2 linked regions of the Sus scrofa genome follow. The protein of the gene in region 1 interacts with the protein of each later gene in a pairwise test. Links are inferred from orthologs where the notes say so. Each region holds a gene or a part of one and is shown on either strand. Other genes may lie near its edges.

Region 1 (4,126 bases):
CCAAATCATTCATTTGGGAAGCTCTCTCCAATGTGCTCAGCAGACCAGGAGGGCAGGACAGCTCTGCCTTCCACCAACCCCTGCCTGATGACTCCTAATTTTTTTTTTTTTTTTTGCTTTTTAGGGCTGCACCTGCAGCATATGGAGGTTCCCAGGCTAGGGGTAAAATCAGAGCTGTAGCTGCCAGCCTACACCACAGCCACAGCAACTCAGGATCTGAGCTGCATCTCTGACCTACACCACAGCTCACAGCAATGGCAGATCCCCAACCCACTGGCAAGGCCATGGATCCAACTCATGGATACTAGTCGGATTCATTTCCAATGCACCACAACGGGAACTCCCTGTGACTCCTAATTTATTCTCAGCTTTGAAGACCCTCTGCATTCAGAGATTTCAATTAATGAACTCACAACACCTAAAAGCCCCGTCTGCAAGACCTTAGCTCCTACCACACGTGAAGAAAGGGAGGCATAAGGTCATCACATGGCCTGCCCAAGGCAGCATGGTGAGTCAGAGAAAGAAGGCGAAGGAAAGCAAAAGAATCTGTCAGTGGTTTGCCCACAAGGTCTCCCAACTTCTAACTCAGGCTCCCATTTCAGGATGCCCCATTCTGTCGTAAGCCACACGGGAAATCCAAGGATGCCCTATTCTGAAAGGTTTGTCCAGTAGTTTTAGAACCAGGCATCCAGCCAGGCTCCAAAGGTCTGGAAAGGAAGAAGGCCAACAACAACAATAACAACCGAAAAAAAAAAAAAAAAGGCCAGACCGACAACCAGAATGCCATAGGCATTTAAATATCCTTTAAACAAACTCACAGGGCACCAGAAAGAAACTCCTGTCCATCCAGTGCACGCTTGGGCACCCAACTGTTAACTTTTATCAGTGGAACTGACAACTTTTTGCTAGCCCTTCTCCGCTTGGGTGGCAAGATGTTAAACACAATTATCTGCAGAGTCAGGAACTGGTAATATACCAAAAGCCAGATGATACTACAGCCTTATTTTTCCTGCTTTGGTCCAAGCTAAAGATGACCTGAGCCACTTGGGCAGTGAGATACAGAACATAACTGTTTCACAGCACTATTTGGAGTTTTTCTTTCTTTTTTTTTCTTCCTTTTTTTTCTTTTTTCTTTTACAGCCACCCCAAGGCATATGGAGTTCCCAGGAGGGATCAGATCCAGATCTGAGCTGCAATTGGGACCTACATCGCAACTGTGGCAACGATGGATCCTTGAACCCAATGCGCTGGGCTAGGGATCAAATCTGTGGCCTGGAGCTGCAGAGACAACTGCTGCCAATGCCGTTGTACCACCATGGGAATACCCACGGAGTGTTCTGAAGACTGAAGATTGTTTACTAGTCTGCCTCTTCCTTTCTCTTTTGGGCCTCACCTGCAGCATATGGACGTTCCCAGGCTAGGGGTCAAATAGGAGCTACAGCTGCCGGCCTACACCACAGCCACATCAACACCAGACCATTAACCCATTGAGCGAGGCCAGGGATCGAACCCACATCCTCACGAATACTAGTTGGGTTCTCAGCCTGCTGAGCCACAACGGGAACTCCTACTAGTCGGTTTCCTACCAAACTACACTAATCTTTGAGATAAGGGATTCGGTCTCACCGATCTCTATGTGAGAAGCATCAAACATAGTACTGAGACATAGCAGGTGCTCAATAAATACCAGAACAAGTGACACCCAGTCTTCTACTGACCCCCCCAGGACTCACTGTGCATGGAAATCCACAACCACTGGCGTCTCACTGTTGACAACTCGGTCTTGAAAGTCAGGTCCATCCTGGATGTTAAAGGTTGTTGTACAGACCTGGGTAGTGTATAATGACCGGGCTTGGCTGGGTGTTCCTGTCAGGTTACTAAGGCTGAGCTGTGGGGTCTGCAGGGCTCTGGAAGCGAGGGGTGCCCACCGACTATGAGAGGGCTTCCTGGAGACTACAGAGGCCAGGAACCTCCTCAGGAGAAGACGCTGAGCCATCTGTGAAGGGAAGAGGTAGGAAGAGTAGGGGCAAAGAACAGGAAGTCAACACACCAGAAATCAGAAAGGTATGTGGGAGTACCAGGGGGCTCAAGATGCAGGGCCAGAAACAAAATGTTGGGAAATAATACATAAGACTTCTGGAGGAAAAGTGAGTAAAGAATGAGAATCAAGGGGAAAAAGGAATCGAAAACCAGGATGGGAAAACTAGGTCGACAACCCAAAAAGCAGGATATTGGTGAAATTACAACAGACGGAAGGGGGGAAGGAATCAATATTTATGGAGCACCTGCTAAGAGATAGGTATCTTACAGGCATTAGAGTCCTCCCAGATCAACGATGAAGAAGTTTCTACTGTACTACTGCTCATATTATAGATAAGGACTTAGAAGCTCAAGCAAATTGTGACATATCCAAAGCAACCCAATTATTAAAGGAGAGTCGACACTAGAGCCCACGACAGTCTGAAAAGTCCTTACTCTATCGATTACTCTTTTAAAAGGAGTTTTAATGGGAAATTAAAGACAAAGGAGAGTTGTCAAAGGTTCAGGAAAGAAGACAAGCAACAATTCAAATAGGAACGAAGTGACACGGGAGCAGGTGGGGGGGGAATTAATAAAGAAGGGACGTGTGTGTGGAAGGAACTGGGAACCCCGGCTCCCCGAATGGCAAGTTCCTCCCACCCAGGGTTTCTGCCCGCTCGGCCATCGGCCTGCATGGGAACGCGCCTGCAGAGGCGCCTCAGCCGCGATACCACTTCGAACCATCCCCACAGGGCCCCTACCTCCCAGCAACGAGAGCGAAGCGACGCACAGCACGGCCCGCCCCACCGGTCAAGGGCACTTCTGTCGTCACTTCCTGAGGGGCGGGCCTTAGCGTCACTTCCGGGAAAGGCAACCTGAGCAAGTCCTCAACTAGAGGGCAGGCACGGGCGGAGCCTCCGTTAGGGACCGGAAGAGAAGCGTTCTTGAAAAGAGACACCGGAAGATGGGCGGGCTCTTAGGGGAGGAACCGGAAGAGGGGCGGATCATTGGGGAGGGACAGGAAGAGGCCGGAGGGCTCCGGAGGAGGGTCCGGAAGAGGAGGGGAAGGAGGCGGGAGTGCCAGGGAGGGGGGGGGGCGGAGAGAAGGGCGGTGGGGAGGCGTGGTCCTCGAGTTTGCAAACACTTGCTGACCAGCATGTCCACCCTTTTGTCTCATTGTCCTAATGTCGCTTCGAAGCAAAAGACTTCAGTTGGGAGTCCAGAGAACGCTGACTCGTATTTGTCATATGTGACTGTATAACTTCGTGGTTTCGAGCAAGTCTTCCTGCCCTTGGGGACTTCAGTTTCCCAAAATGTGACATGAAAAGCTCAGCTTGTCTTCCACCCTTGTCTCTTTGGGATTGCTGAGAAACTGGGCCCAGACAAGATGCCAACTGGTAGTGATACTTGGAGGGCCTGCCTCTGAGGCCCCAGGCAAAGTGTGATGATCCCTGAATCTACCTGGGCCTGGGCCTTCCTTTCTCACCCATTGTCGCTGTCATGGACAACAGGAGTCTAGGCATTTGTGTGTCTCAGGCTGGTCTCACAGCCACCCCTTGTCTCCCTTGCACCCTTTACCTATGTTAGAGCAGGAAAGGGCTGTGGGGTTTCAGAGCAGAAATAGAGGCAGAGAGTCCAGAGCGTTGAGGCTTCAAGTAGGTTTACTGAACAGAAGATGGCCAGAAGCACTGAGAGAAAGCACAGGCTCCCTGGTATTAGCGGGGGAATAGGTTTTATAGAGGCTTGTGGCTAAAGTAACCAGTGTCAGGGCTGGCATCAGGCTACATGGGAGGGGTAGGAGGAGAGGTGAGGGGTTGTAACAATGTTCCATGATATGGTGGGAACTGAAGATTAGCAAAGACAAAATGCAGTTAGGGCAGTCATCATTCCAGAACAGGCTGCTCTTGGTTGAACAAGATAAGGGAGTCGGCAGTTTGAGGGATTAAATCTGGCTCTAAGACCTTACAACCACTCATAACTTCTTATGGTTCTATGAATAAATCAATGCTTCTCCCTCCTCCCTGCCTTTGCTTAACTTGAAAGCCTTTTTTCTATGTCCACTCGGTAGAACACCTACTCATACTTCTTGAGCAGCATTAATTGCCTT
Region 2 (4,279 bases), on another chromosome or scaffold:
TCAAGGCTACAGGAAGCCCAGCTTCAAATCCACTTCCTCACTGCCACCCACAATCCTGGGTAGCCTGAGGTACCCCCTGAGTTAGCCTGAATGGGTCTCTGCTCTGAGAAACCAACTGCCATTTCACAAGCAGTTCTTTTTAACTCCTCCTGTCTGAAAAAACCAGTCAGACTAGAGGAGGGAGAAGAGAAGTGCCACTTTGGAAAGTGTATATATGGATGAAGCTAGTCTAACTTCCTTCTCTCTCCTAGCCACAAAATAGAGCTTTCCAAAATTCACACATAAGGAACTGCTGCAGGAAAATGAAAATTTTCTTGGCAGAGAATCTTCATGCCATTTACTTAGTTTTAATATTAATCTCTAAAGGAGATAAAACGGTCATGAGAGTTCAGTGGCAGGGCTCTAGCTGAATGAATGGCAGTCAGCAAAGGTACAGCAATGGCCATTTACTTAGTCATTTCTAAATAGCAAAACAGTTCCTCGTGGGAACACTATTAACCTTCCATCTAACATTATGAATCCCACTATAATATCATTAACAATTGAGGGTTAAAAAAGCTATAGGAAGAAGTTAAAACTGGTAGTTTTTCTTAGCAGTGCATATTTGAGTCTAAGACCCTAAGAAAATACCACCTAAAAATTAAAAAGGAATGAATCCCTTTCTTGTAAGAACTCAAAAGGATAACATTTCATTGCTTTGAAAGCATGATTAATGCTGACAGAAGTCCATGATACTATCCGTGCAATGCTTACAGAGTAGCTGGGTTAGAGCCCATGTCCAGTGCAAACTTCATTAAGGGGAAATAAGATGTACTGTTGACTGTAATTTGAAGATGTCTTAAAAGCAGTAATTCTTAATTCTTAACTTCACAAAACTGTCTCCTAAGAGGCATCAAAACTGTTGATACAAAGTGTTTTAAAAATTATTTAATTCAGCTAAAACTGGCTTACTGAAATGTAATACTGATAAAGAAAAATATCTGGACTTCCAAAGTGCTCTTTTTTGTTTTGAGGAGTTAAGGGGGAAACATAAAACCTTTTAACTTTGAAATTAAGAAATCACAAAAATGCAGAAAAGGATATTCTAATATTGTGATATTAGCATGGGTATTTTGCAGAATTTACCATCTCCACCCTCTAATAAACGCTGGGTAGCCAGTTTCTGACATGAACATGCATCATGATCTTCTCTTTAAAATGTTGTTCACCTATCTTCCTCCATCCTTTTGCTTCCTTGGCCAGCATATCAAGTTTCTGGGCCACCTGTGGGACTAAAAGCCCTTGTCTAGGTCATGGGGCAACTCATACACTAAACTAAGAAATCAGTGTGCTCCGGGGAACGCTCTCTCCCTCTGTTCATTTCACAGCAATTAATCGAGATGATCTTGATCCTAGCTCCCTGGGCTTGGAAGTTCCAACCATAAGGGCTTGCATTGGGAGTTCAAAGGGCACCGTGTATTGATTCGTATTCTGCCATCTGGTGATAACAGTACTTCAGACCCTTTGCTTTGATCTCTTTCACATATACATTCCTTAAACTCAGTCCAGCAATACATAATGAAGCCTTTATGGACCAAAAGAACTACGTATGATTTCAGCTAAGACATGGGATGTTATGTGGGTATGCATAAAAAAATACTTAAAAATAGTAACAGGGATTCCAAAATTCAGGACTCACATGGTTTCCTATAAATGATTTTCCGGGAAATGTTTCATCTTTATTCTTAACAAAAAGCACTACCCAAAGACAGGAGCCAACTGGCCTCTGGGGGCCTGGCACTGGTCTTGGATCGAAAATGAAGGCAGCATCCAGCGCGGGGAACCCTAGGCTCCCGCGGCTTGGCCACGCAGCCTCCGGCACAGTCCCGGCCCGCCGCGCACACTCGCCCTGCCCGCTGCGAGGAGGGCGGCCAGGGGGCTGGGGCAGGGGAGCGGGGGTCCAACCGCGACTCCTCGGGACCACTGAGGGGCAGGGGCGGCAGTCCTGTGACGCTGGCCCCTCACCTTCCACACCTGCCCGCGAGGCGAAACTCCTTCGCTTCCTTCGAAAGCTCCGGCCGCCAGCGCCGCACCGGGCGGGGGTCGCCCGGGAAGCCCAGGTTAGCAGGGCGCCCCACATTCAGCAAGGAGAGGCTGCGCGGAGCCGGAGTGCAGAGCTCAACCGGCAGCGGCGCCGCGCCGAGCTCGCCCCCGAGCGGGCCCCAAGCGCGGACCCGAGATCGGGGCGCGCGCGCCCACCGCCTCGCACCCGGCCCGGCCCCCTCCCCCGCGGCCCAGGCCCGCACTGACGGAGGACGCCGCGTGGGGCTCCCTGTTACCTGCGGGAGGGCGGCGGGGGAGGCGGGCGAGGGTCTTGGCTCCGGTCCCCTCTTCGCCCCCTGTTGACACCAACCACCCTCACCTCCCCCGTGACGCTCTGGCCACTACACCCACAATCTTCTGAGGTCTGGTCCCTCCGGCACCATAGAGACTGTCCGGAAGCCGGATAGAATGCCAGCCTTCAGCCCTCCAACACCACCACTGAAGCGAAGGAACCCGGAACCGAGATAGAGCGGCCGCGAGGGTGATTCTCAAGCTGGTGCCATCTTGAGTGTGGGCGCCGGTGCCGACTCCGCCGTTCACTCTCTGTGCCCGCGGCCTAGTTAGTCCGTGAAGGTGACTGCTTTCTTGGGCCTTAAGTTTAACGTGCAAATATGGCTTGATTTTAATTTTCAGGCTTTTAACCGCACAGTTTGAACTGCATTTCCGCCCAAATCTAAAATGGCCGTCCGCCGCCGCCTTGGACAAATAGGAAAGAGGCGGGCGGAGAATAGGAGCACTGTGGAAATTGGAGAGGACTTTCGGAAGAGTGACGTAGCTCACCCCAAAGCCCTGATTGGCTGTGCTGTGTGGGCCGAGTAGCGCGGGTCCGCGGCTGAAGCTGGCGGAGGTTGATGTGATTGCCGCTGAAGCCTTTCAGGCAGAAGATGCGAAGTTACAGTTAATTCTGCAAGGAGTCAAGTTAGGACTCTTAATAGTACTTATTATTAATATTAATCGTTGCTACTTAATAGCGTGTTGTGGAATAAAGAATATACGTGATAGTTTTAAAACTACATGATTCCAACCAAGTTTTTTTCTGTTATCTTGCATGTGACTTAGTAGTAGTTATTATCATCGCTGGTTTTTAACGTTTCTACTACCTAACAGTTGACAGCTAAGTCATTTGATCACCTAAAAATTTTTAATTCTTTTTGGTCTATAGCAATATGGACAAGGACCCCACAATTTCTTTACCCGATTAAATAAAAGCAAATATCAGACCAAACTTTGTCCCTTATTCAGAAATGAGTATTTATTAGAAAGTAGACACAAATAGTATTTTATCTGTCCTGTTAAGTTATTGAAGATCGAGCTCTGTCCTACGTCAGCACTGTCCTATGGAAATACAATTTGAGTCACATACGTCATTTTAAATTTTCCAGTAACCACATTAAAAACAGTAAAAACTCTGAGGTGAAGTTAATATTATATTTTAACACCTATCCAGAAGATAGGTGTTTTGTTTAGTCTTTTTCTTTCACCATTCCTCTCATTCCTTTTTTTTTTTTTTTTTTGCCTTTTTTTAACACCTATCCAGAAGATAGGTGTTAAAATATAATAAAAAATTATTAATGGGATATTTTACATTTTTTGTACTGTCTTTAAAATCTGATGTGTATTTTTTACAATTTAAACTAGCCATATTTCAGTGCTCAAAAGTCACTTATAGATAGCAACTATAGTATGGGGGGTGCCATTCTAGAAAGTTGAGAAGCAGAAGTAGAGGGCTGCAGAGGTAGGATTCTGTTATGGTAGGATTCTGTTATCATAGTTATTCTCAGCATCTGGCAACCAGAAATCTTCCAGGACCAATAGAGATGAAACCTTAGATGGCATCTCTAAAGGCTGAGGACTCAAATTTTTAGACCATGTTTATTCAGGAGTGGAGATCATTCTCTGAGACCTCATCTCTAGTATTCATCATAACTAATAAGCTGATACTGGTGCCAGAAAGATGATACTGGAATCCGGGTTCTCGTTCAAGGTGGTGGAAGGATGACCTCCAGGAACACACAGGCAGCAATCAATGTCTTTATTAAAGGAAAGCTGATCGCTCCCAGGGTTGCTGGGAGGGGAGAGAAGAGCCCCCTTTCTCTATTGTCCTATAGGGGTTTTTATCTCTTAAAGGTGGGGAGAGGCACCAAAGTGGGGTTCAGAAAAATGTGGTTTTCCCTCATTGGCCTTATTCAAGTACCTA

What was found. The genes of interacting proteins can lie anywhere in the genome.
Region 2: the proteins of TXN2 (region 1) and SCYL3 interact in binary tests that used the Homo sapiens proteins (3 or more experiments, as listed by UniProt). The two-hybrid records come from large-scale screens. The link is inferred for Sus scrofa from reciprocal best matches to the Homo sapiens genes TXN2 and SCYL3.

The regions. Positions count from the first base shown.
Region 1 is NC_010447.5:11,263,313-11,267,438, reverse strand, and holds the start of TXN2 (thioredoxin, mitochondrial), read right to left. Parts: upstream 2,801-4,126; 5' UTR 2,764-2,800; coding exon 2,725-2,763; intron 1,997-2,724; coding exon 1,734-1,996; intron 1-1,733.
Region 2 is NC_010446.5:81,132,556-81,136,834, reverse strand, and holds the start of SCYL3 (protein-associating with the carboxyl-terminal domain of ezrin), read right to left. Parts: upstream 2,801-4,279; 5' UTR 2,319-2,800; intron 2,134-2,318; exon of another isoform or gene 2,005-2,133; intron 1,876-2,004; exon of another isoform or gene 1,679-1,875; intron 1,264-1,678; exon of another isoform or gene 1,126-1,263; intron 1-1,125. UniProt on the Homo sapiens protein: May play a role in regulating cell adhesion/migration complexes in migrating cells.